Linked DNA regions of Arabidopsis thaliana. Each later gene encodes a partner of the first gene's protein in a complex. Each region holds a gene or a part of one and is shown on either strand. Other genes may lie near its edges.

Region 1 (6,108 bases):
AATGGAAACTTCACGATATTCAACCAAATGTGTTGAAATAGGATTTTAGCTTCATTTGAATTTCTTTATTTTGGTTTCATTTTTGGTCTCATGGTTCCTTTCTCGACCACTTTATAACGGAACTAAAAAGTGAGACGTAGCAAATTATATTCATTTAAAATTAATGTTCGTTTTTTGCGAATAAAGTAATACCAACAGGCAGGCTTTCCACCAAATCTAACCTTGTCCAGTTGGTTGTGTACTGGTTTAGGCCTCTACACTTCAGGACAAGAGTTCGACTCGTATTTGGTACCAAGTCGTGCCATCTCTTTCTCTCTCTCTCTTTCGCCTTCACAATCCAATATCCATGTCGATGTTGTTGTATTGAACTTAAAGAGAGGTAATAAAAATTACCTTTTTTTTGAATAAGATCAAAATTTTATATTTTTTTTACTGTAATCACAATTTCTTCCTATAGCTTTAATTTTCAACTTTGCTCAGCCATTTTGGGCAGGCCTAAATTTACACCAAGTAGATTAAGACCAAATGAGAATATATAACGTAACACAACAATGGAATTGGTTCCGCATAGTGCATCAAATATCAAAAGCATACAACTTCAAAAAATAATACACGAAATATAAAACAAGCCTGGGAGAGGGAGAGGGAGAGAGATTCATCATTATAAATTGTAATACATGATTTAAAGTTAACGAACCAAACTAATACCTAACATACAATATTATCACCAAAAACCAAACAAACACTCACATTTTCTCTCAACGGGCTTCGTTTTGTTACAAGGGATGATAAGGGACGTAGCCCAATAAGCCCGTGACGTTAGCCACTACTTCGTTGCATTTTGACAAAAGGTTGAGCATCTGGTGAGAGATGTCCCCAGCGCTAACCGCTGGGATCGGGCCACGGAAGTTTCTTGAAGGTGGCATTGGTGGTTCGACGTGGTCTACTGGTTTAATGGGAAGTTGTTGTGGTTTTGTGTATTGTGGAGGGAGAGGAAGAATTGGAGGCAATGTAGAAGGAGGAAGCTGTTGATGATGAACAACGTTTTGAAACTTCTTACTAACAAATTCCATTGGAACAGATGATGATGATGAAGAAGGTCCACTGTTTCTATTCAAGGTCATTGTGACCTGTGGTGGCTCGGTGTTTGCTTTACTCGAGTTTTCTTCACCACCTAACATGAATTTGACTCTTACGGCTGCGCGGTTACCGTTTCCATTGTTGCTACTACTGCTCGGGTCATCAACTGGTTTCTTCAAACAGGATTTGAGGTTGACGTTTGGTGGCGGTAATGTTGGTTGGTGAAGCGGTGGTGCTTGGTCCAACCACTGGCTCTGTGGTTCATCATCTTCCTTGGTGTTTTCTGGCTCACGAGGCTCGGCTTTAGGAGCATCCACATCACGGAGAAAGTACTTTACATTCACGTTTCCAAATAGAGTGTTGTTTCCTGTTGCATATCGAAAAGCAGTCTGGGCATCGGCTTTGTACAGAAAGACAACACGGCAGGTCGATGATTTCCAGAAAACCCTAATGGCGGATTGATCTAACAGCCCGAAGCGACCAAACCTCGCCTTTAGCAATGCGGCTGAAGGGAGAGATGTGCCAGGTGGGAATTTCATGACCAGCATTGTTGGCTCAACCACCTTAACTGATGGAGCTGTTTTCTTCCCGGTTTGACCTCTGGCTGGTTTTGCTTGTACCACCCTGCTTGGCTCTCTTATTGGTTTTATACTATCCTTTGCTTCTCGAATGATCTTCTTTTCAGAAGCCATTGATTTCAACTGATTAGTTTTCTTCAGCTTCTTAGCTGATGGGATTTCATCTTGACGATCAGAAGAGAGCCGTTTTTTTCCAGCTTTTGATGGGTCTTCGGTTCTCTTCACTGTCTTGACAGGTTTTGAGGGTTTTGTGTCTCTGGCATTTTCGACAGTAGCATCAGAGGAAGATACAGACAAGCTTTTCTGGTAATTAAGTGAACGGAAACGGAGAAAAAATTTCCTAGCAGTTCCAAAAGAAGCAACGGATAAACCGTGGAAAGGGTCAAGAGAGAGATCTTGCAGATGGCTCAACAGCTGCGGCACATCGGCTTCCATATAGGTTTGTAAATGCGCTGAACCAAGCTGGGACAATTTCTTGGCCCCAGCTTCCCCAGAATACAAATTTTTTCTCTTCACTGGATGGTCAGAATCAGGCTCTTTCTTCTTTTTCTTTTTCTTTTTTGGCTCTGAAGGAGGATTCTCCGAGCTCATTTCACTTGAAGATCGTTTAGCAACTTTGACTTTCTTGATTACAGACCCTGTGGAACTTTTCCCCTCAGATGCTGAGGTATGAGACTCAAGCAGAGGCTGGAGAGAACTTCCAGCTGATCCAAGATCTGTTCCAGCTTCTTCTTTAGGTTTAAGACTCGCCATAGCTTCAGATTTCCCATGCTCTGGAAGTACAGCAGCTCTTTCTTCCATTCTCTCCTTTGATTTTTCAGCTAGACCCTTTTCTTCATCAAGAGAGGGCTTTGAAGCTGAAAATTCTTTACCAGGAATAGCTGTATTTGAAGAGGCAAAATCCATGCTGACGATCCCAGACTTCTCATCTTTCATTGGAGTTTGAAGCGTCGGAGCTCTTCTCTGCAGCCCAAAATCCCCATCCAAAGATCCATCAATTCCCTGGATATGAGAAGCTTCTGAACTTGCTTCAATTTCGCCAAACTGAACAGACTTATCACCAGCTTCATCCCTTCGTTTGAGAAGATACTTGTCTTTTTTTTTAGAGACCTTAACCTTTGTGGGTTTTTTAGAGCTCTTAAGGTCACCTAGCGTTTCTGCTATGACCAGTGGGCCACTCAAGGGAGCTGGAAATAAGAGAAATTGAAACAACACATCACCCACCAAGAAAATGAACAATAAAGCAAACAAGGTAAATGTATGCGGGACTCTCCATAGTAGAAAGAGGCGCAGAATTGTTATCAGGCCACGTTTTCGAATGCACAGTTTAGCATCAATGAGACTTCACTATTCTTTCAAGCATGCTATGTAAAGAATTCAACTACAAAGATATAAATCCTAAAATCATGAGCACAGAGGATCTAAAAGTAAAACCCTAAAACCAAGTTACAGTATCTAATATCTATGTAACACATATGAAAGCTGTTTCAAGTCTACAACGAAAAAACCCATATACAAACAATAACATGATTTTCTGAAAAGTGGCTAATACCTCGAGGCGGTGCTCTATTATGAGGTTCCAGCGTACTCACTGAACTGCGGGGTGATTTTGTCCCAAAGGCCTGTGCATAAGTTTCATCAAACTCCTCAAACACTGACTTGCGGAAAGCAAAAACCACTGCTTTCTTCTTCATAAACTTTAAACTGTCTGGATCACACTCTTGAGGTGCTAACGCCAATTGCTTCACAAACGAAATGGTTTCAGCGGGTAAAAACTTATCCCTAGAATTCTTAATCTGATCAACAGAGTAAACGGCTTGAAGCTCGTAATCAGGCACATCAACAGCAAAGTAATCTTCCACATTACTAGGCCTAAAGTTATAAGGATTCCGACATTTACAAGTCAAACCAAGAGCTGACCTTCTACTCGCCTCATCCTTGGCTTCCTCCACAGCTCTCACAAAATGCTTCGAAACCGTCTGCTGTGATTTCTCCTCTAAATTCGGTTCGAAAGGAATAAGCTCAGCAGGATCAAACCAACCATAACTACTATCACCGAAAAACGCAACAAGAACATGATCAATCCTCCTCATACGACGAACAGAAGGAGACGCAAAAGCTTCATTGAATATATGACCAGGCCACCAAGGATGAGACTTTACCTTTCCCCAAACCAAATCTCCAACTTCAAACCCATAACTCAATGCCCTCGAAACTCCAGAACCCATTTTCTCACTTGCAACATAATCATCAAACTCAGATAAAAGAGATTTATAATCCGAAACTCCTTTTTTCTCTTCCTTCAAACCCAAATCTAATTCCTTCTCATCAGCTTCAGAACCAAGCTCACTAGATTGATCATCAGAGCCATCTTCTTCTTCTTCTTCTTCTTTAACCTCAGAACTCTCATCATCCTTATCAATTAAAACATCCTCGCTTTTAATCTCATCTTCCTCCTCACTCCCTACGACACCATCTTTCTCCGATCTCTCACTTTCGAGAACCCTAGCGTCATTTGTAACCGCCGAATCTAGCTCCATAGGTGAAGAAGCTTCAACATCATCATCAATGGCTTCGTGAACATCCCCGCTCGAATCAACTACAGTATCATCTGGAGTTACCTTAGGATCCTGAATCGAATCCGTTTGTTGAACAATCACAGCATCCTCGTTCATCACCGGGATTAATTTAGTTTTGTACATTACAAATCGATAAGAACCCTAGCAACAACAACAACGATCCTCCGATGAGAGATTATCCGAATTTGGTTCTCGAGGACACCAAATGAAAGAGACGGATTATTGTTAAAAAAAAAAAAAAGCTAATCGAGAGAAAGACAATAAATTAGATCTACTGATTACTATTGAATTGGGCTTACCCGGCCCATATAAATATTTATAAGCCCGTTTAAGGAACCGACGTCGTATGATCCAAAAAGACCTGAAAACAATCGCTCCTTCTTCCTCACCTTCAAGCGCCGTCTTCTTCTTTGTTTTTTGCTCTCGGCTGATCTCTGTATTGGGTACGTTTCTTATCTCGATTTCAGTGTTCATTTGTTTTTTTTGTCTTTTCTTATGTAGCTATGAGACAGGATCCAGAACGATGCAATAGATATAAGAGAGCCTTCAGGAAAATTTTGCCATTTTTCTCCATTTCACCTGTTGTTGGGTTCTAGATTAAATAAAACTAGAGTATAGTTAATAATTTCTATAGGCATGGTTTTAGATTTACATTATAGTGGGAGTGATGATTCAAAGTTTTAGTCTTTGAACATTTGGCCATGGTAGTTTGTTGTTTTAATACTTGTTTAGGGTTAACAAAAAACCTACTTTTAGATCTAAAGACTCAGATTTTTCACATTTATTTATCGACTTAAAGTTGGAATGTGTTAAAGACTGATAGCTCTCTCTATATGGCTTTCTTTGGCAGATTTTTGATATAAGGTTTGAAATCATGGAGGTCGTTGATATTGATGCCCGAGCTGCTAAGTTAGGGATTGATTGGTCTCAGGTTAATTTTGATTCCATCCAACTTCCTCCTGGAGAAGACTTTGGGATCGAGAGGTGAGATTTTCCTTTAGATCTCTGGTTGTTCATATACGGTCACTTCTATTTCTAATCTTCTTGTGTTTATACGATGGGATGATTTTATTCTAGGTTTTGCTATTGTATGTATGAAAATTTTGTGTATTTCGAATTGGTTTATCTCTTTCCTTGATGGTGCAAAGCTTATTATATTTATACATTTTATCTATGAACGTATGAAAAATGGAACTGATTCGTTATACACTTTTTTTTTCTGTGATGGTTGTAGTGATGATGAAGCTGTTTACCAGGATGACCAGTCTGAATTCGACACTGGATTCGGTAACATTATCGTGGTCGATCACCTCCCTGTTGTTCCCAAGGAGAAGTTTGAGAAACTTGAAGGTGTTGTCAAGAAAATTTACAACCAGTTAGGTGTGATTAAGGAAAATGGACTGTGGATGCCTGTTGATCCCGATACCAAGATGACATTGGGCTACTGTTTTATTGAGTTCAACACTCCTCAGGTTATTTATCTACTTGATTAGCTTAATCTCTGTTTTGTTGGATTCTGAAGCAATAATGTCGGCGTCATATGTTTCAATACTTTATTTCTCTTGTTAGAAAGGAGCCCAAACTAGGTTGTTCTTAATGGTTGAGTATTTCCTAAGAGTTTCTCTCAATGTCTGGGGCTCTTTGCAGGAAGCACAAAACGCTAAGGAAAAGTCTCATGGCTACAAGTTGGACAAGTCTCACATCTTTGCTGTAAACATGTTCGATGATTTTGACAGGTTGATGAATGTGAAGGAGGAGTGGGAGCCTCCTCAGGCCAGGCCCTACGTCCCTGGGGTATGTGTAGTTTTCATCATGTTACTCCCTGTACCTTGAATAATTTTCTTTGAATAACTTCCATTGTGTCTGTGTAA
Region 2 (5,056 bases), on another chromosome or scaffold:
TATGGCTTAATACCAGTAATGAGGCTTCTAGCTCCTTGATCTTTGGTAAAATGTCAATATGAGTAAAACAAACAACTTAGCAGTGCTCTATTTTACTTTCCTGCAATGAGATTCCCAAAAACCATGGAAGAGAACTTTAAGAGACAAATTTCCAGCTATTCTACGGGTAAGGATAGCAGGCGTTTGGGCATGTTAATGTTTGCAAATTATGGACACAACAAGGATGGAGAGAACTCCATGAAAAGTTATAAAATCAATACCTCCCCCAATGTCCATGTAATTATTAATTACTCCTATAATCCCTGTAACTGTCACCACATCACCAGGGATACATATGTCCACAAGGTCTTCCATCAGCTCACATTCTACAGTTCTGGGTACCCGTCCTTCTTCGTGGTCTTCAGGCTTTTGCAATTCCTGTACCCTAAAATGCATTTGGACAGCTGGTTAACAATGGTCAGATACATAACTAACAAGGATGAAGTACACAAAATGATGAGACGCAAATAGGAGAACACCTGATTTTCTGAAAATCAATTGTCTGAGCAGAGGACCGGATTGGAGTAAACGTTTTGGACTTGCATCCATGGGAATCACATTTTAGTGGAGGAGAAAACTTTCCATCAGTAAATTCCCGGGTTATGCCAGTTTTGCACTTTCCACAGTCAAAAGCCATCTGTGTGACAAGGGGTTTCACAGTACTAACTTTAACAACAGTCCCATGAACGGTTACAAGCTTTCCTGCAATTTCAAAAGCACACACTCATGCTATGTCTCACTTAAGGTTTTACATCTTATTATTTATTTCGCTAGATGAGACAGTCTACCAATATAAGCTGCTCTCAGGTTTTTCAGGGAGATAGAAGATTCAGGATAATTATGCAGACGAACATTGATCTTCATAACATTCTCAAACTCATTAGTCTCCCATTGATCAAAAAGAACCTGTGAGAGATGACATAAGTCTTCATCTTATGCCAACCAAGAAAACAAACCCCAATGAAAAGTAATAGCATACCTTGTGAACAGCAGCATTCATACATGGGATAACTCCTTTAGGATTATCCTCTAGATTTATGAAAAAGTTCTCGATATCAGATATTTTCTTGAATTGTTGGAGATCAAGAGACAAAGAGAAGGAACCACCACCGTCTTCATTCACCTGGCTCAAGCCATGGAATAAACTTATAAACTGTTTCTCCTATTTTTAGATACTAAGAAGAACTAATTGACGCATAGAGAAGTTGATTAATCGTTTTCTATCTACCCTAATTCTTCATAGAAGTAGAGTGGAAACGAAATCTAGCTAAATAGATTACAATTTCATAACCGGAATTTAATTTCGAAATCAAGCTATACCAAGCTTTATAAAATTCAGATTTATAAACTTTTTACCAGAAATTTGATGATGGCCAAGTGAGGATGTACCTGAGAAACTATGTCTCTACCAGGTGATGCGGAGAATACGCGGATGAGCTCCGCCGTGAGCTGCAACTTATCCTCGTCGATGGCCAAATTCTCGTTGTCCTTGATGTATACAGCTAATATTTTCCCGATGCCGAGAGAATCAATTCCTGTTGATTCAGGGCGACCCGATGCCATGCTTCCACCACCGTAAAATCCCATCACCGCTTAACCCACTGTAACTCGCTCGTCGTCAGTCGCAGAGAAAAATCTCGCTTAGGCCAATGGGTTTTGGCGGGAAAAAGGTAAAGGGCTTTTTGTGATGGGTTTTTGGTAAGTGGGCCAAATGATTGAACCCTAAAACCCAAAGATAACCAAAAGAAAGGATAAAATCAATTAATAAAGCTTTAGTTGTCCGCCACGTGGACTGAACCGCACAAAAATTCACAACAACAAAAAAAAAACGAGAAACCCGTTTCTGGTTCGATTTGACGTCTTCGTTTACTTCATTTCTATAAACGAGCTCCCGCCGCCGGAAAATTCGCTGTTCATCACCACCGTGACCAGAGGTTTGTTGTGAGCACCTTCTCTATCTTTCTTTCTTCACCTGTAGGTTCTGTTATATGTTTTGTTGGGAAATGAACTGAAGAAAATTTCTGATGATTTTCTAGGGTTTTGTTTTGGTACTGCTTATGTCGACGGAATCAGAACGTATTGAATCAGTCTCAGAGGCTAATGCGTCGAGTTTAGAGGTCGGAAATGATCAAATGTCTGAAGCCCTAGCTGGTCAAGCTCAGGAGCTGAAAACAATTGGAGATGATAAAGAAGGATGCGGCAACTTTGCTTCAGCTGGTGATAATGGGATGGAGAAAGTAAATGGATTTACTAATCTTGTTAAGGAAACGGAATCTGTAAATGGAGAGTTAGATCTAGGCACTAGAACCGAAAATGTAGGTGGAGAGAGTAACCAAAGTGACAAGAAGGTTCTAGTAGATAGCGAAGAGGTCATGATGGTAGAGAAAAGGGGGCTTCTTGTTGAGAAGGAAGTGGAACCTGACATGGTCTGTTCTCATGGCGCTGATCTCAGTGATGTGAAGGTTTCTGATGGCAGACTGGATAGTGAAGACCTTGTTCAGGATAGAAAACCCGATGGCTTAGAAAAGCAAGGAACAAAAGTTGAGGACTTGGATGTTGTATGTTTTATGGGTTTAGAACCGCATGAGAGCAAGGATGAGAGTATTTTGGATGATGAAATTGCCCATGTAGCTGCGAAGGTGAAGATCTCTGACTCAGATTTGGTTTGGGCTAAAGTAAGGAGCCATCCGTGGTGGCCTGGACAGGTGTTTGATGCCTCGGCTGCAACAGACAAGGCGAAGAAGCATTTCAAGAAAGGAAGTTTCTTAGTAACTTATTTTGGAGATTGCACCTTTGCTTGGAATGAGGCGTCACGGATTAAGCCTTTTCGACAGCATTTCTCCCAAATGGCAAAGCAGAGTAGTCTACCTGATTTTATTGATGCTATTGATTTTGCGTTAGAAGAGGTATCAAGAAGGATAGAGTTTGGTTTAGCTTGTTCTTGTATCTCAGAGGAAGTCTATCAGAAGATCAAGACTCAGAATGTAATCAATCCTGGAATCCGAGAAGATTCAAGCTCAATACACGGTGGAGACAAGGTCTCAAGTGCAGTCTTCTTTGAACCTGCAAACCTTGTGGGATATGTGAAGCGTTTAGCATGCTCTCCTAGCTATGATGCTACTGATGCGCTGCAGCTTGTAAGTCAGAGAGCACAGTTATTAGCTTTTAATCGCTGGAAAGGCTATACTGACCTCCCCGAGTTTATGACACTCCAGGGGTCAGTAGAGTCTGCACCCAAGATTTCTCCTGCAGAAGAGCAAAGTAGCTTAGTGGAAGTTTCTGATCCTGAACCAACAAAGAGTAAACAAGTTTATACTAAAAGAAGAAAGACAAACCTGCAAACAGAGCAAAGTAGCTTAGTTGAAGTTTCTGATCCTGATAAAGGTGACTGTAAACACGATGGAGTGTTTGAATATGAAGAAACTATTGTTCCAAAGAAAAAGGAGAAAACTTTGGCAGAGTTCATTGCTGAGAAACGCGTAAGCAGACATAATGGGAACACATCACATGAAAAGTCTGGTAATGTTCCGCATTGCGAAAAGAAACGCAAGGTTGTGCAGTCAAAAGTTCCCAAGTCCACGAAAAAGATTAAGGCAAACCTGCAAACAGAGGATCCAGGATCTCCAGTTTCTCCCAAAAATGATCGAAAAAATAATTTGTCTGCTGGTGATAAGATTACACCACAGAAAGCTAGAAAAAGTTTCGGAATTGGGGCAAGCATATTGAAAGTGGCAAACCAGATGCATTGTTCAACACCAACCAGACTCTTACCTTGCAGTGATTCGACCTCCAAAAAGGCAGCCAAGAGCAATGGCAGTGGAAAGAGTCTTCAGGAGAAACCTAAAGCCGAAGCATTATCAGCAAGAGAAATTTCTCCTTCAACTACACTTTCAAGCCCTCACGCTGCTTCTGTTACCAAAACCACAAGTGGGAAATCCAATTCTGTCAGCCTAGACCACAACCTATCCGGAGAACTTGATCAGGTCAGAAAGGAAGCTCCTAGTACTAACCTTGTGGAGGACCCGATGTTGGAGTCTAGAGACTTGAAAGACTCTTCTAAGGAGCAGGTCGTACATGAGGATAAGAAAGAAGCTGCAAATGTAGCGGATGAGAAATCTATTATGGACAGCAATCTAACCGGGGAGAAAATCAGTGGCTTGGACTTGAGAGAGCAGCCGAGTAACAAGAACTGCTCTGGTGGATCTGATAGTTGCAAGGAAGATGTTTCTGCAGAGTAGGAAGGCTCAGCATCAGCGTCTAACCCACTAATACAGATCTTTCTAAAATCGAGTCCGGTTCTTGTTAGTACCCAAGAGTGGAATATACCTTTTAGATGGATTCTCTTCTCTTTCAAAGTTTAGAATTGTATGATTTAATCAGAGTTGAACAAACACTAGTGAGAGAATGTAACAAAGTTATTTTTGTTTTTCCAGATTTGTGCAATTTAATGGTCAATAATTCATTTGAATCCAAAACTAATTATGAATTTGAATAAATAAATTAGAATCCAAACAAAATTAACCTCAACTCGGAGGAAAATAGAATAAGAGATGTCACTGAATAAGTACATAGACATGCCTTCAAATATCAAAAAAAATTCATAAAATGTAGTAGAGCTCAAGACCTAGGCTTCTCCTTCTTTTCCTTGAAAAGGGCCAAGAGTGAGACACCAGAGACCTTCACCACTTTGAACCTAACTCCGGGAATATCTCCGACGGCATGACCTTTACGCCCAAATCCAGCAATCAACACCTCGTCCTACACACAGTATCAATGAATGAGTAATTGGTAAGAATATAATTTGATTACTCATTCAAAAGTAGATGTCAATCTAACTTACATTTTCTTCAATGTAGTTCAAACAACCATCATTGGGGACAAAGGCAGCAATCTTTTTACCATTCTTGATCAACTGAACTCTAGCACACTTACGGATAGCAGAGTTAGGCTGCTTAGCCTCAATACCACTGCATAATCAAACACAGAGTCTCATCAAAGTCAAGATCTATACTACTAA
Region 3 (6,281 bases), on another chromosome or scaffold:
TATAAAAAATTGATAATTTTAAAAATACGAGAACTTCTCGTTTCTTGTTCTAAGTAAAATAACATTCCAATATAGAATTAGGGTTTAGTTGCCTTTGGAAAATTGCTTTGTAAAAAGCTAGATATTATGTTTCGTTTAGTATATCTTTGACTCATGATATTTGACATTTGATTAAAAATCATGTTTGCCTTACATGCATAATATCTTAAATGCTTGTATCACATGTCTCTAACTACCACGAAAAACTTTGTGTATAAAAAATTCAAATCTTTAATTTTTGGACGACAAATTCATTAGCGTTACTAATTTCATTGTACCTATCAGTTTTATGACGATAATAATACAATTTATTTCGTCCCAAAAAAAATAATATTTATTTATTAAGTTAATAGGAAAATAGGTGTAAATATACAAATATGTATATGTAATATGCAATTAGAGAATATATGAAACACCACTATACTATCAACATTAATATTAGTAAGATGAGAAACATAAATTAGATGATTTGAGTCAATATTTTTCCCTAGTAATCTTAGTAATAGTTTTTTTTTTCTTTTATTTGCATAGTTCATATACATATTTGTATACATATATGTTGTGCAGATCTAAAATTTTTGTTTAATACCTATTTTGCACCTCTACCAAATAAATTGTGTTAGAATTTTAAAAAATTCATAATCACAACAAAATTTCTAACACTATTTAATTTGTTGATCATAAAAAATCTGAATTTTTATGCACAAAACGTTTCTTAATAGTCAAAACTAGTGATATAAGAAGTGCAATGCCAAGAATTATAGAGATTTGAAGCGAAATTTTAAAATGACATGATTATACATAACTTTTAAGTTCTAAACTATAATCATAATAAAAAAAATTAAGATATTAAATAGAGCGAACAGACGTTTAGGTTTTTTTCGGATTTACCATATTCATCAGATTAATCCATGCTGGATTGAGAAAAAGCCTCAAGCTTGGAACAACTACATGTAAATCATAACCTCGAGATATTTTAAGGCTTTCAATGTCCCAAAGAAAGTTATTTGGTGTCGAATCCATGAGTGAAAATTGAGCTTTTCACATAGAACAAAGAGGGATATGAAATAGTACAATTTTATGTTTTAAATAAAGAAGATAAAATGAAAGGTAAATTTTATAGGTTTAGCCAGCAGAGAACAAATGAAATGAATGTTTTAAGTTTAGACACCAAGAACAAACTTAGGGTTCAAGTCTAAGCTTAGTCATATACTTCTGAACAATATTGGACTTTATTGTTCAAGTATTAAACAAACATTGAAATCTTCTTAAATCACTTTTCAAAATGCAACGAGGATCTATTCTTTTTTTTTTTTTCAGAAGAAGCTACAAGAAAGAACAACAAGTTTGGATATGAATTATAAAGTTAGTAATCCATGTAAGAGACGCTTATATTAATTAATTTATACTGTTAATTATTTCATCCGTAATTTTTATTATTATTCAATAAAGTATTTATTTTACTGAATTAAAAAATAATAATTATGGGTGTTTGGATATTCGGTCGGGTATTTTGGGTTTGAGTTTTTCGGGTTTAGAATTTTAAGATCCGTTCGAGTAATTCAAGATTCCGGGTCGGGTTTGGTTCGGTTTCGGGTTTAGTTATATATTGAAATATCAAAATTTTGTGTCCGAATCTATTAAATTATTTGAAAATTTCAAAAATTCCCTAAACAACCCGAGTAGTTTTGCTTGAATATATTTAAAAATACATAAAAGTAACTAAAATATCCGAAAAATCATAATATTGTCTATATGTAAATATAAATATAAATATTTTAGTTATATTTATATTTAAGATATGTTTGGGTACCAGTTCGGGTTCGGGTTTTTCAGGTTTTGAAGTTTAGATTCAGTCGGATATTTGAAAATTTCAGGTTCGAATTTAGATTGGGATTTTTGGATTGGGATTTTTGGATCGGGTTCAGATCGGTTTTTTCGGATTCAGGTATTATGTCCAAAGTAAAAATGGTAAACGGTGGTTGTTTTGTTTGTATTTGTAAAGCAGAAGAGAGAGAGATATAGAGACACTGAAAGCAAAGACCAAAAAAGAAAAATTAAAAAGAGAGAGAGGAAAATGGAGAGCGACGAAGCAGCAGCAGTGTCTCCTCAAGCAACGACACCGAGCGGAGGAACCGGAGCTTCTGGGCCGAAGAAGAGAGGTCGGAAACCTAAAACCAAGGAAGATTCTCAGACGCCGTCGTCTCAGCAACAGAGCGATGTTAAAATGAAAGAAAGTGGGAAGAAAACGCAGCAGTCGCCGAGTGTTGACGAGAAGTACTCTCAGTGGAAAGGTCTCGTCCCCATTCTCTACGACTGGCTCGCTAACCATAACCTCGTCTGGCCTTCACTCTCTTGCAGGTCTCCCCCTTTCTCCTTTCCTCTCCTTCTAGGGTTTCGTTTCGTAATCGTTTCTTAGCTTTGAACATTCTCATGTTTGGAATGAATTTAGTAAAATCTTACACATACATTTTCTCGATTTCTGGGTTTAAGTGAGATTGTTGCGATTGTTCTAGTTAGGGTTTTGGATGTGGCTCTGTCTTCATACCTTGATATATCTGATGTTCTATTCATGAATTGTTACTATTGATTACCTTGTTGGTTACTAATGACTAAGAGGAATTTTCAGTTTCTCTGAGTGTTTATATCTGATGAAGTCTTTAGTTGTTGTGCTAAGAGTTTCCATTTGGTGAATTGTTGTTTGATTTTTTTATAGATGGGGTCCGCAGCTTGAGCAAGCAACCTACAAGAATCGCCAGCGTCTGTACCTCTCAGAGCAAGTAAGTTTTTAGCTTTCTCTTGTATCTTGTTGTCTCATCTTCTTTATATACTTCTCATCGTATTATTTGTATTTTTCTTGGTTGTGTCACCAGACTGATGGAAGTGTGCCCAATACTTTGGTCATAGCAAATTGTGAAGTTGTTAAGCCAAGGGTTGCTGCAGCAGAGCACATTTCTCAGGTATTATGTGGTTTAATACTAAGCTTGTGTCCTTTCCATATCCTACTCCACACTACAATTGGTTTCATGTTTGACACTTATATACTATCTTCTGAAAATGTGTTCTCAGTTCAATGAAGAAGCACGTTCTCCATTTGTGAAGAAGTACAAGACCATCATTCACCCTGGAGAGGTGTGAATTCTGCCCACTCTTGAGATATTTCTGTATTGACATTGTTCTTTTTAGTTCTATTTGGTTTGTTAATTGTATCTGCATCCCTGTTTCATCTGTCCATGAAGTTATTCGTTTGGCACGTTGGTGAAAGTAAATTTTGATGTGTATTCATTACTAATTTGCAATTGCAGGTTAACAGAATCAGGGAACTCCCACAGAATAGTAAGATTGTTGCTACTCACACCGACAGTCCTGATGTGAGTGCTGCTTCTATTTTGTTATGGTCATAGCAACTTGAAATATGTCGGTTTCATATTTCTGTATTTGGCAGTCAAAGAGCATCCTTTGTTCGGACATATGTCCAGTTTCAGAGTTATCTAAATACAATATGTTGATTTCAGGTTCTCATTTGGGATGTTGAAACCCAACCAAACCGTCATGCTGTGCTTGGAGCTGCAAATTCCCGTCCAGATTTGGTATGTCCACTTCTGAGAATGTTGTTTTATGCTTTATTCTTGTTTGTTTCTCATCATTGGAAGTGATAAATCTCTTTGATATCTTCTTAAATAGTGCTTCTTGTTTGCATCATCTGAATGAACCATTTTTCATGCAGATACTAACTGGGCACCAAGATAATGCTGAATTTGCTCTTGCCATGTGCCCAACGGAACCCTTTGTGCTCTCCGGAGGTTTGTGTTTCTGTAATTTGTAGAGTCCAATCCTGTGGTTTGCCAGTTTCTCATACAAAAGTTCTTCTCTTAGGCAAGGACAAGTCAGTTGTTTTGTGGAGTATCCAAGATCACATCACAACGATTGGGACAGATTCCAAATCATCTGGATCTATCATCAAACAGACTGGTGAAGGTACTGATAAGAATGAGAGTCCTACTGTTGGCCCACGAGGTGTATATCATGGCCATGAAGATACAGTTGAAGATGTGGCATTCAGCCCGACGAGGTAACTTCTTAGAACAGACTCCTTCTATTGATATCGTGTTTGTTTATGCATACTGCAGATATTTTCATGATTTTCTAATAATACTTCTGGTGAACTTTTATACCGTGAAGTGCACAAGAATTCTGCAGTGTTGGTGATGATTCTTGCCTTATACTATGGGATGCGAGAACTGGCACAAACCCTGTCACGAAGGTACTCTATCTTTTGAATCCTATCAAAAGTTTGAAGATTTACCTCCTTTTGATATTATATCTTACTTTTTTGTTTTCCAGGTTGAAAAAGCGCATGATGCTGATCTTCATTGTGTTGATTGGAATCCTCATGACGACAATCTGATCCTGACAGGGTATGGAGAAATACATACAAATAGATGATTAATACATACTTAGTATCTAATTAAGAAATTGATGAATATTTCAGGTCAGCAGACAACACTGTCCGGTTGTTTGATCGTAGGAAGCTTACCGCTAATGGAGTTGGTTCGCCTATTTACAAATTTGAGGGACACAAAGCTGCTGTTCTTTGTGTTCAGGTATAATCAACTTTTTTTTTTTTTTTCCTTCTTTGTATGAAGTATATCTCTTAACCCACTGACACTATCTTGTTATTCAATTCAGTGGTCTCCTGATAAGTCATCCGTCTTTGGGAGCTCTGCAGAAGATGGTCTCTTGAACATCTGGGATTATGACAGGGTGTGTACATAGTTCACTCAGATGTCTAAAATTAATCTTTCTTCACTATCATCACTGAAACATATTCATTGTACTCATGTTTGGTTTGTTTAATTAACCATCAGGTCAGTAAGAAGTCTGATCGTGCAGCTAAAAGCCCCGCTGGGCTCTTCTTCCAGCATGCTGGTCACAGGTTCTTAAAGACTTATCTTGATTTTTCTTGATTGCTTTCTCATTTTACTTGCTTCTAAGTTCCCTTGTTTATAAACCATATTAGGGACAAAGTTGTTGATTTCCACTGGAATGCTTCAGACCCTTGGACTATTGTCAGTGTTTCTGATGACTGTGAGACTACTGGTGGAGGTGGAACATTGCAGGTAACCTTGAAATCTTTCTTGGTACCTTGATAAGCAATTTTATTGACATACCGTTAAATGTTGTTTATACTTTCTTCTATGGCAGATATGGCGGATGAGTGACTTGATTTACAGACCAGAAGAAGAAGTCGTGGCAGAATTGGAGAAGTTCAAGTCGCATGTTATGACTTGTGCCTCCAAGCCTTAAGAGTAAAGAAAACCCATTGTCTATCTATCTATCGCCTATGGTAAACTAATGCGGGTTTTAGCGAGGAGTCTTGGTTTTTGTAAGGCTGGTTTGTCTTTTGAGATATTGGTGGTAGCTTTTAGGACCTTTCCATATCAGTTAGGGGTACATGGTTCTGGTTCATGATCCTGTTTCATCAGACTCTTAGGTGCTGTTTTGTTCAACTGAGATGTTAATCAAATCGGACCAACTTTATGTGTTTTGGTTTAAGGTTTCAATACTTGGCCTGAACCTAATGATTCCTTCTCTGTAACTAGTCGAGACCAACCCGGCTACAAAAAAAATAGTTGCATTGATGTTCAAATGCAAAGCAGAAGGGGTCATTATAAAACAATATAGTAATAAGCATCGCAAAATTTGGAAACTGGGTTCTTGATGATTCGTCGCATCTTAAATAATGTTTGCATTGTCGTTTTCATTAGAAAAAAACTGTTAATCACGCTTAGCAGTAGGATTAGGTGATTTTCAATTCACAGATTTATTCGTAGGATTTTGAAGAAATTTTAAGTATTAACAGTCACTAAACAATCAGACCATTGCAAATCATACATAGATCACCTGGTCATTTCATAAAACTAAACTATATGATAATGTTTTACTTTATTGGGCTTAACGTTAATGGTCCTCCCGCTTAATAGGCTTTATGAAGTCTCTTGATGAGCTAGAGACTTTAAAAATCCAATCACAAAGCCTACATGAGACCGTCAAGATCAGTCAGAGAAGATCAAACGAAGAAGTTTTTGTTCCAAAAGATACTAAAGAGAGAAACATGAATCAATGTATTGCTTGAGGAATAAGGTAGGGAAGCTAATCAATCACAAGTAGACGAATCGGAGTATTTCATAAAATTAGGGTTTTTAGACCTACATTTTCTTTTCTTTTTCCGACGATACTTA
Region 4 (4,475 bases), 9.1 Mb from region 1:
CTAATCGAAACCATTGAACTTGGCTACATTTACTGTAAGCAAAACATGAAGTAAAATTCACCGGAAGAAGAAACAACAAAAATAAACTGTGATATATGCCCAAGCAAGTTTTGAAGATAAGGACGAAGAAGACGCTGACGGAACTAGAGGGTTCGGATTATAAAGAAAAGAAGAGAAGACACAGAAATAAACAGAGGCATTGGCATTTCTTTTAGAATATAGAATTTGTTGAGAGGAGTTACTTAGTATTGATCGCTTAAATGATAAATACCGTGTTCTTTAAGTATCTGTATCAGTTGTTTGGAAATAAAGAGCTTGTTTCTAACAAAAACACTCAAAATCTTCTGAGGATCACAAACTTCACAATCATCATCTTATCACTTATGGATAAAGTCACCACCATGCAATTGTTTTCAGAAATATCAAGTATAAGAAAGAAATTACAAAAACAAAACCTGTGAAAAGAAGCTAATCGATCTCTTGTCAAAGCTTGAGAAGGTAGAATCAATGGCTTCCAGGTAAACAACTGAACAGCCACCATCTTTCTTAATCTTCTCCTTGATTTATCTTACGCTCTTTTTGTTTCTCTCCTTATATATGTGGGTGGAGTATGGACACAAGGCTGGTTTTTTAGATTTTTGCGTGATTATTTTGTTGTTGTTATATTGTTTTGGACCATATTAGTTAGCCCGTGGGGTGTTATGAACATAAAAACAAATCGACTAATTTTTTTTTTGGCTTAGAACTTCATTTGAATAGGTAAACAACGCAGAGGAATCGCGTCCATAGAATAGAATATAATAAAAACAAAATGGTACTCTTATCGCTTTGAATTTTAACTACTTTCTCTTATTCCACTCACTATTCACGTTTTTATATACATACATACATATAAGAGTACATGTGCTAATAGCTGTCCAAACAAAAAAAAGAGTACATGTGCTAATAAACGACTATTTTTTAGTACTTTTGTTTCAATCGTTAAAATCTCATCCACAATTTTGAATCTCGAACGTTACTGGCTCCCAAAATATCCTCTCAATGTTGAGACGCCACATGACATAACAATAAAAATGACAAAGACATAACAAGAAAATGGATTTTGCATTTTTTGACCATTGAGAGAGCTAAGCACTTTACACAATAAACGGTGTTATTGTGTTTATATATGAATTGATATATTATTTTGTTAGTCTATGAGGAGTATTTAAAAATATCCCCAAAAGAGGTTTTTCAAAATATCACTTTTTAGTAAAACATACTATTAAACAAGTTTAGAAAACTTATAAAAAAGTGTCTTAATGTTGTAGGAAAACATTTGGTTCTCATTAAACATAAAATTAACAAATTTAATTCTTTAGAAATAAACTAGTTGTAGTAAAATTCTAATCTACTTGTAGTAAAATTCTATTCTATTTAATATCAGTAAAAACAAGTCAAATTCAAGTTCAAATAAAGAGGGAAAAGCAAAAGTTTGAAAATTTTGAACCTCACTCAATGTAATAATGTATGGTTGTGATGAGTCGAGACAAAATCAAGTACTGCCACGTGGAATAATTCGTGACGTACACGTAGCTCTCTCATAAACCCCCTCAAAACGAAAGAAACTCTGTTATTTCTTCATTACCCAAAATCTAAGCTTTCGTCGCCGGCGAAACCGTAACCGCCACCGGAGGTTCTGTCCACCTTTTTTGCTCTCCGATTATTTTCTTCGTCTCTCGTATGATGTACTGTTTTTGCTTTAATGGAAGCATATACTGAAGCAATTTCTGCTTTTTTTTGTTTCTTCGTTGTCTAGGGATTTTTGTTGGTGCTCGTTATGTCTACGGAACCAGAAGGAGTCGAATCTGACTCCAACGCTGATTTTGCCATAAATGCGTCGAGTTTTGACTACGGTATGGCTCACACATCTGAAACCCTAGCTGATCCCATGAGCTTTCAAGCTCAGGACTTGGTAGTGAACCTCACTGGAGTTGAGCGAAAAGTATTTGTCTCTGCTCGTGATGATAAGGATAGTCTCTGTAACGGGGTTGATTTTGATGCTGATTCAGATCTGCTTAAGAACAAGGATAAGAAAGGATTTTCTAAAGAGAATCTGAAGCTTTTTGACTCAGATTTGGTTTGGGCTAAACTAAGAAGTTATCCATGGTGGCCTGGACTGGTCTTTGATAAATCTGTTGCCTCTAAAGCTGCGATGAGGCACTTCAAGAAAGGAAATGTCTTGGTTGCGTATTTTGGGGATTGTACATTTGCTTGGAATAATGCATCTCAGATAAAGCCTTTTCATCAGAATTTCTCTCAAATGCAGGAGCAGAGTAACTCCGCTGAGTTTCGTGATGCTATTGATTGTGCTTTGGATGAGGTTTCAAGGAGAGTAGAGTTTGGTTTATCTTGCTCTTGTGTTTCAGAGGAAGCCTATAACAAACTCAAGACTCAGAACATAATCAATGCTGGAATTCGTGAGGACTCAAGTGTTAGATACGGTGGAGACAAGTTATCGGATGGAATCTCTTTTGAACCTGCTAAACTTGTGGATTATATGAAGCATTTAGCTTGCTTTCCTTGCTATGATGCGACTGAGAAGCTGCAATTTGTGATTAACCGAGCTCAGGTATTGGCTTTTCAACAATGGAAAGACTATTCTCACTTCATTGACTATGAAACATTTGTAAGGTCGGTGGAATCTGCTGCGACCCTGGCTTCTCTCCCAGAAGTAAATATGGATGAAGGAATATCTGCCAAAAAGAGAAAGACAGATTATAAAGATAATGCTGAACAGACAAAGGAGAAGACTTTGTCAGATTTGACTGTAAAGAAACGCTGTGGGAGCAGATCAACTGAGAAATTGGATGGTAAGTCGCATTCTGAAAAGAAGCGTAAGGTTGAGTCTTCGGAATCTGGTAAGTCTGAGAAAAGGATCAAGAAAAGTCAGCAAAAGGAGGATTCAGTGTCTAAACACTCTAATGAGGAAAGTCTTTTGTCAGTGGGTGATACTAATAAACTGCAGAAGACGGCTGAACCGTGTCATGGAACTGGAGTGGAAAATGAGATGAATTCTTTAACTCCTACACTTAAGCCTTGCCGTGCTTCTAAATCTACGGAAGTTGAGAATGAGAAGACTAAGAAGCCGAGACATCAAGAGCTTGCTGAAAGAAAGATTTCTTCTCCTGATGAGATGCTCTCAAGCCTTCACGCTGCCAATACCTCAACGGGAATACCTGATTCAATCAACATAGACCCCTCGAATTATGAAGATTTTGAAAAGTTCATTAATGAACTGTTTTGCAGTAAACTCAATGGTGACTCAAAGAAGGCAAGTATCACTGAGACATCAGAACCTTGTGATAAGAAAGACTCTGCAGAAGAAGAGATATTACCTGCAAATAAAGAAATCACTGGCTCAGGCTCGAAAGAGCAAATTGGTCTCAAGGACTGTTCTGCAGATTCATTACCACCCTATGCTTTAGTCCTCAACTTTGCGGATTCAGGTTCGGTTCCATCTGAAGAAAAGCTGAACGAGATATTTAAACGTTACGGTCCTCTCCATGAGTCTAAGACTAAGGTCACGATGAAGGGTAAGAGAGCCAAAGTTGTGTTCAAAAGAGGGGAAGACGCAAAGACTGCCTTTAGCAGCGCAGGGAAATACAGCATCTTTGGACCTTCTCTTCTAAGTTACAGACTCGAGTATGTTTGCCCCAAACGGAAAAAAACAACATGACTGATTGAGTCACGGCATCTCTTAACTTTCAGAGATTAGGGTCTGATCAGATATCATCAGCTAGGTCTTATGATGAGAGTAGATTTTCGATAAATAAACGTAACCTAGGATTTATGATGAGAGTAGGTTTTCGATAAATAAAAGTAACATTCGTGTGATGAGACTAATTCTTAACTTTATGACATACAAAACCAAAACTGGAAATACCAATGATAACAGTAAAGTTAGTCGCAACTGAAGATGAGGCTTATAAGTTAAAAGAGTAAATTGATTAAACACCAATAACATTAAACGATCATGTCTTAATTCAAAAACTCATAAAATGTAACACAAAATCAAGTTCTTGAAACATAAAGTAGAACAGAACAAGACTTAAACTGAACTATCAAAAACCATATCAAAAGCTTGAAGCTTTTTGTACGGGTTGCTTAAGATCTTGGCTTCTCCTTCTTTTCCTTGAAGAGGGCCAAGAGTGAAACACCAGAAACCTTCACGACCTTGAACCTAACTCCGGGAATATCTCCCACAGCGTGACCCTTACGACCAAATCCAGCAATCAAGACCTCATCCTGCAACACCATAAACAAGAAATGTATCAGCATATGAATGAAACTAATCCATAGTGTGATGATTGAATAGTCATTTCATGTGACTTACGTTTTCCTCGATGTAGTTCAAACAACCATCATTGGGGACAAAGGCAGCAATCTTCTTTCCATTCTTGATAAGCTGAACTCTAGCACACTTACGGATAGCA

What was found.
Region 2: AT5G27650 (region 1) and AT3G09670 share a complex: the UniProt entries of both Arabidopsis thaliana proteins name them as parts of the PRC2 (polycomb repressive complex 2) complex.
Region 3: AT5G27650 (region 1) and FVE share a complex: the UniProt entries of both Arabidopsis thaliana proteins name them as parts of the PRC2 (polycomb repressive complex 2) complex.
Region 4: AT5G27650 (region 1) and AT5G02950 share a complex: the UniProt entries of both Arabidopsis thaliana proteins name them as parts of the PRC2 (polycomb repressive complex 2) complex.

The regions. Positions count from the first base shown.
Region 1 is NC_003076.8:9,783,763-9,789,870, reverse strand, and holds AT5G27650 (Tudor/PWWP/MBT superfamily protein), read right to left. Parts: upstream 4,465-6,108; 5' UTR 4,361-4,464; coding exon 3,211-4,360; intron 2,846-3,210; coding exon 777-2,845; 3' UTR 517-776; downstream 1-516. Other genes in the region: TIF3B1 (translation initiation factor 3B1), read left to right, coding at 5,112-5,221, 5,472-5,709, 5,807-6,031. UniProt on the Arabidopsis thaliana protein: Together with PDP2, PDP3 and PDP6, interacts with MSI4/FVE and MSI5 to suppress FLC, MAF4 and MAF5 expression by regulating the function of the PRC2 complex and modulating H3K27me3 level, thereby promoting flowering.
Region 2 is NC_003074.8:2,964,541-2,969,596, forward strand, and holds AT3G09670 (Tudor/PWWP/MBT superfamily protein), read left to right. Parts: upstream 1-1,660; 5' UTR 1,661-1,973; exon of another isoform or gene 1,974-1,980; intron 1,981-2,075; 5' UTR 2,076-2,096; coding exon 2,097-4,277; 3' UTR 4,278-4,518; downstream 4,519-5,056. Other genes in the region: MCM8 (minichromosome maintenance 8), read right to left, coding at 261-424, 519-741, 828-945, 1,019-1,162, 1,429-1,626; AT3G09680 (Ribosomal protein S12/S23 family protein), read right to left, coding at 4,657-4,797, 4,880-5,006. UniProt on the Arabidopsis thaliana protein: Together with PDP1, PDP3 and PDP6, interacts with MSI4/FVE and MSI5 to suppress FLC, MAF4 and MAF5 expression by regulating the function of the PRC2 complex and modulating H3K27me3 level, thereby promoting flowering.
Region 3 is NC_003071.7:8,453,890-8,460,170, forward strand, and holds FVE (Transducin family protein / WD-40 repeat family protein), read left to right. Parts: upstream 1-1,866; 5' UTR 1,867-2,116; coding exon 2,117-2,400; intron 2,401-2,755; coding exon 2,756-2,819; intron 2,820-2,912; coding exon 2,913-2,999; intron 3,000-3,108; coding exon 3,109-3,171; intron 3,172-3,344; coding exon 3,345-3,410; intron 3,411-3,554; coding exon 3,555-3,629; intron 3,630-3,766; coding exon 3,767-3,842; intron 3,843-3,915; coding exon 3,916-4,111; intron 4,112-4,221; coding exon 4,222-4,303; intron 4,304-4,383; coding exon 4,384-4,457; intron 4,458-4,531; coding exon 4,532-4,643; intron 4,644-4,728; coding exon 4,729-4,803; intron 4,804-4,907; coding exon 4,908-4,975; intron 4,976-5,059; coding exon 5,060-5,159; intron 5,160-5,244; coding exon 5,245-5,346; 3' UTR 5,347-5,753; downstream 5,754-6,281. UniProt on the Arabidopsis thaliana protein: Core histone-binding subunit that may target chromatin assembly factors, chromatin remodeling factors and histone deacetylases to their histone substrates in a manner that is regulated by nucleosomal DNA.
Region 4 is NC_003076.8:689,134-693,608, forward strand, and holds AT5G02950 (Tudor/PWWP/MBT superfamily protein), read left to right. Parts: upstream 1-1,551; 5' UTR 1,552-1,675; exon of another isoform or gene 1,676-1,798; 5' UTR 1,799-1,819; coding exon 1,820-3,718; 3' UTR 3,719-3,966; downstream 3,967-4,475. Other genes in the region: AT5G02940 (ion channel POLLUX-like protein, putative (DUF1012)), read right to left, coding at 456-541; AT5G02960 (Ribosomal protein S12/S23 family protein), read right to left, coding at 4,147-4,287, 4,376-4,475. UniProt on the Arabidopsis thaliana protein: May influence gene expression by regulating the function of the PRC2 complex and modulating H3K27me3 level.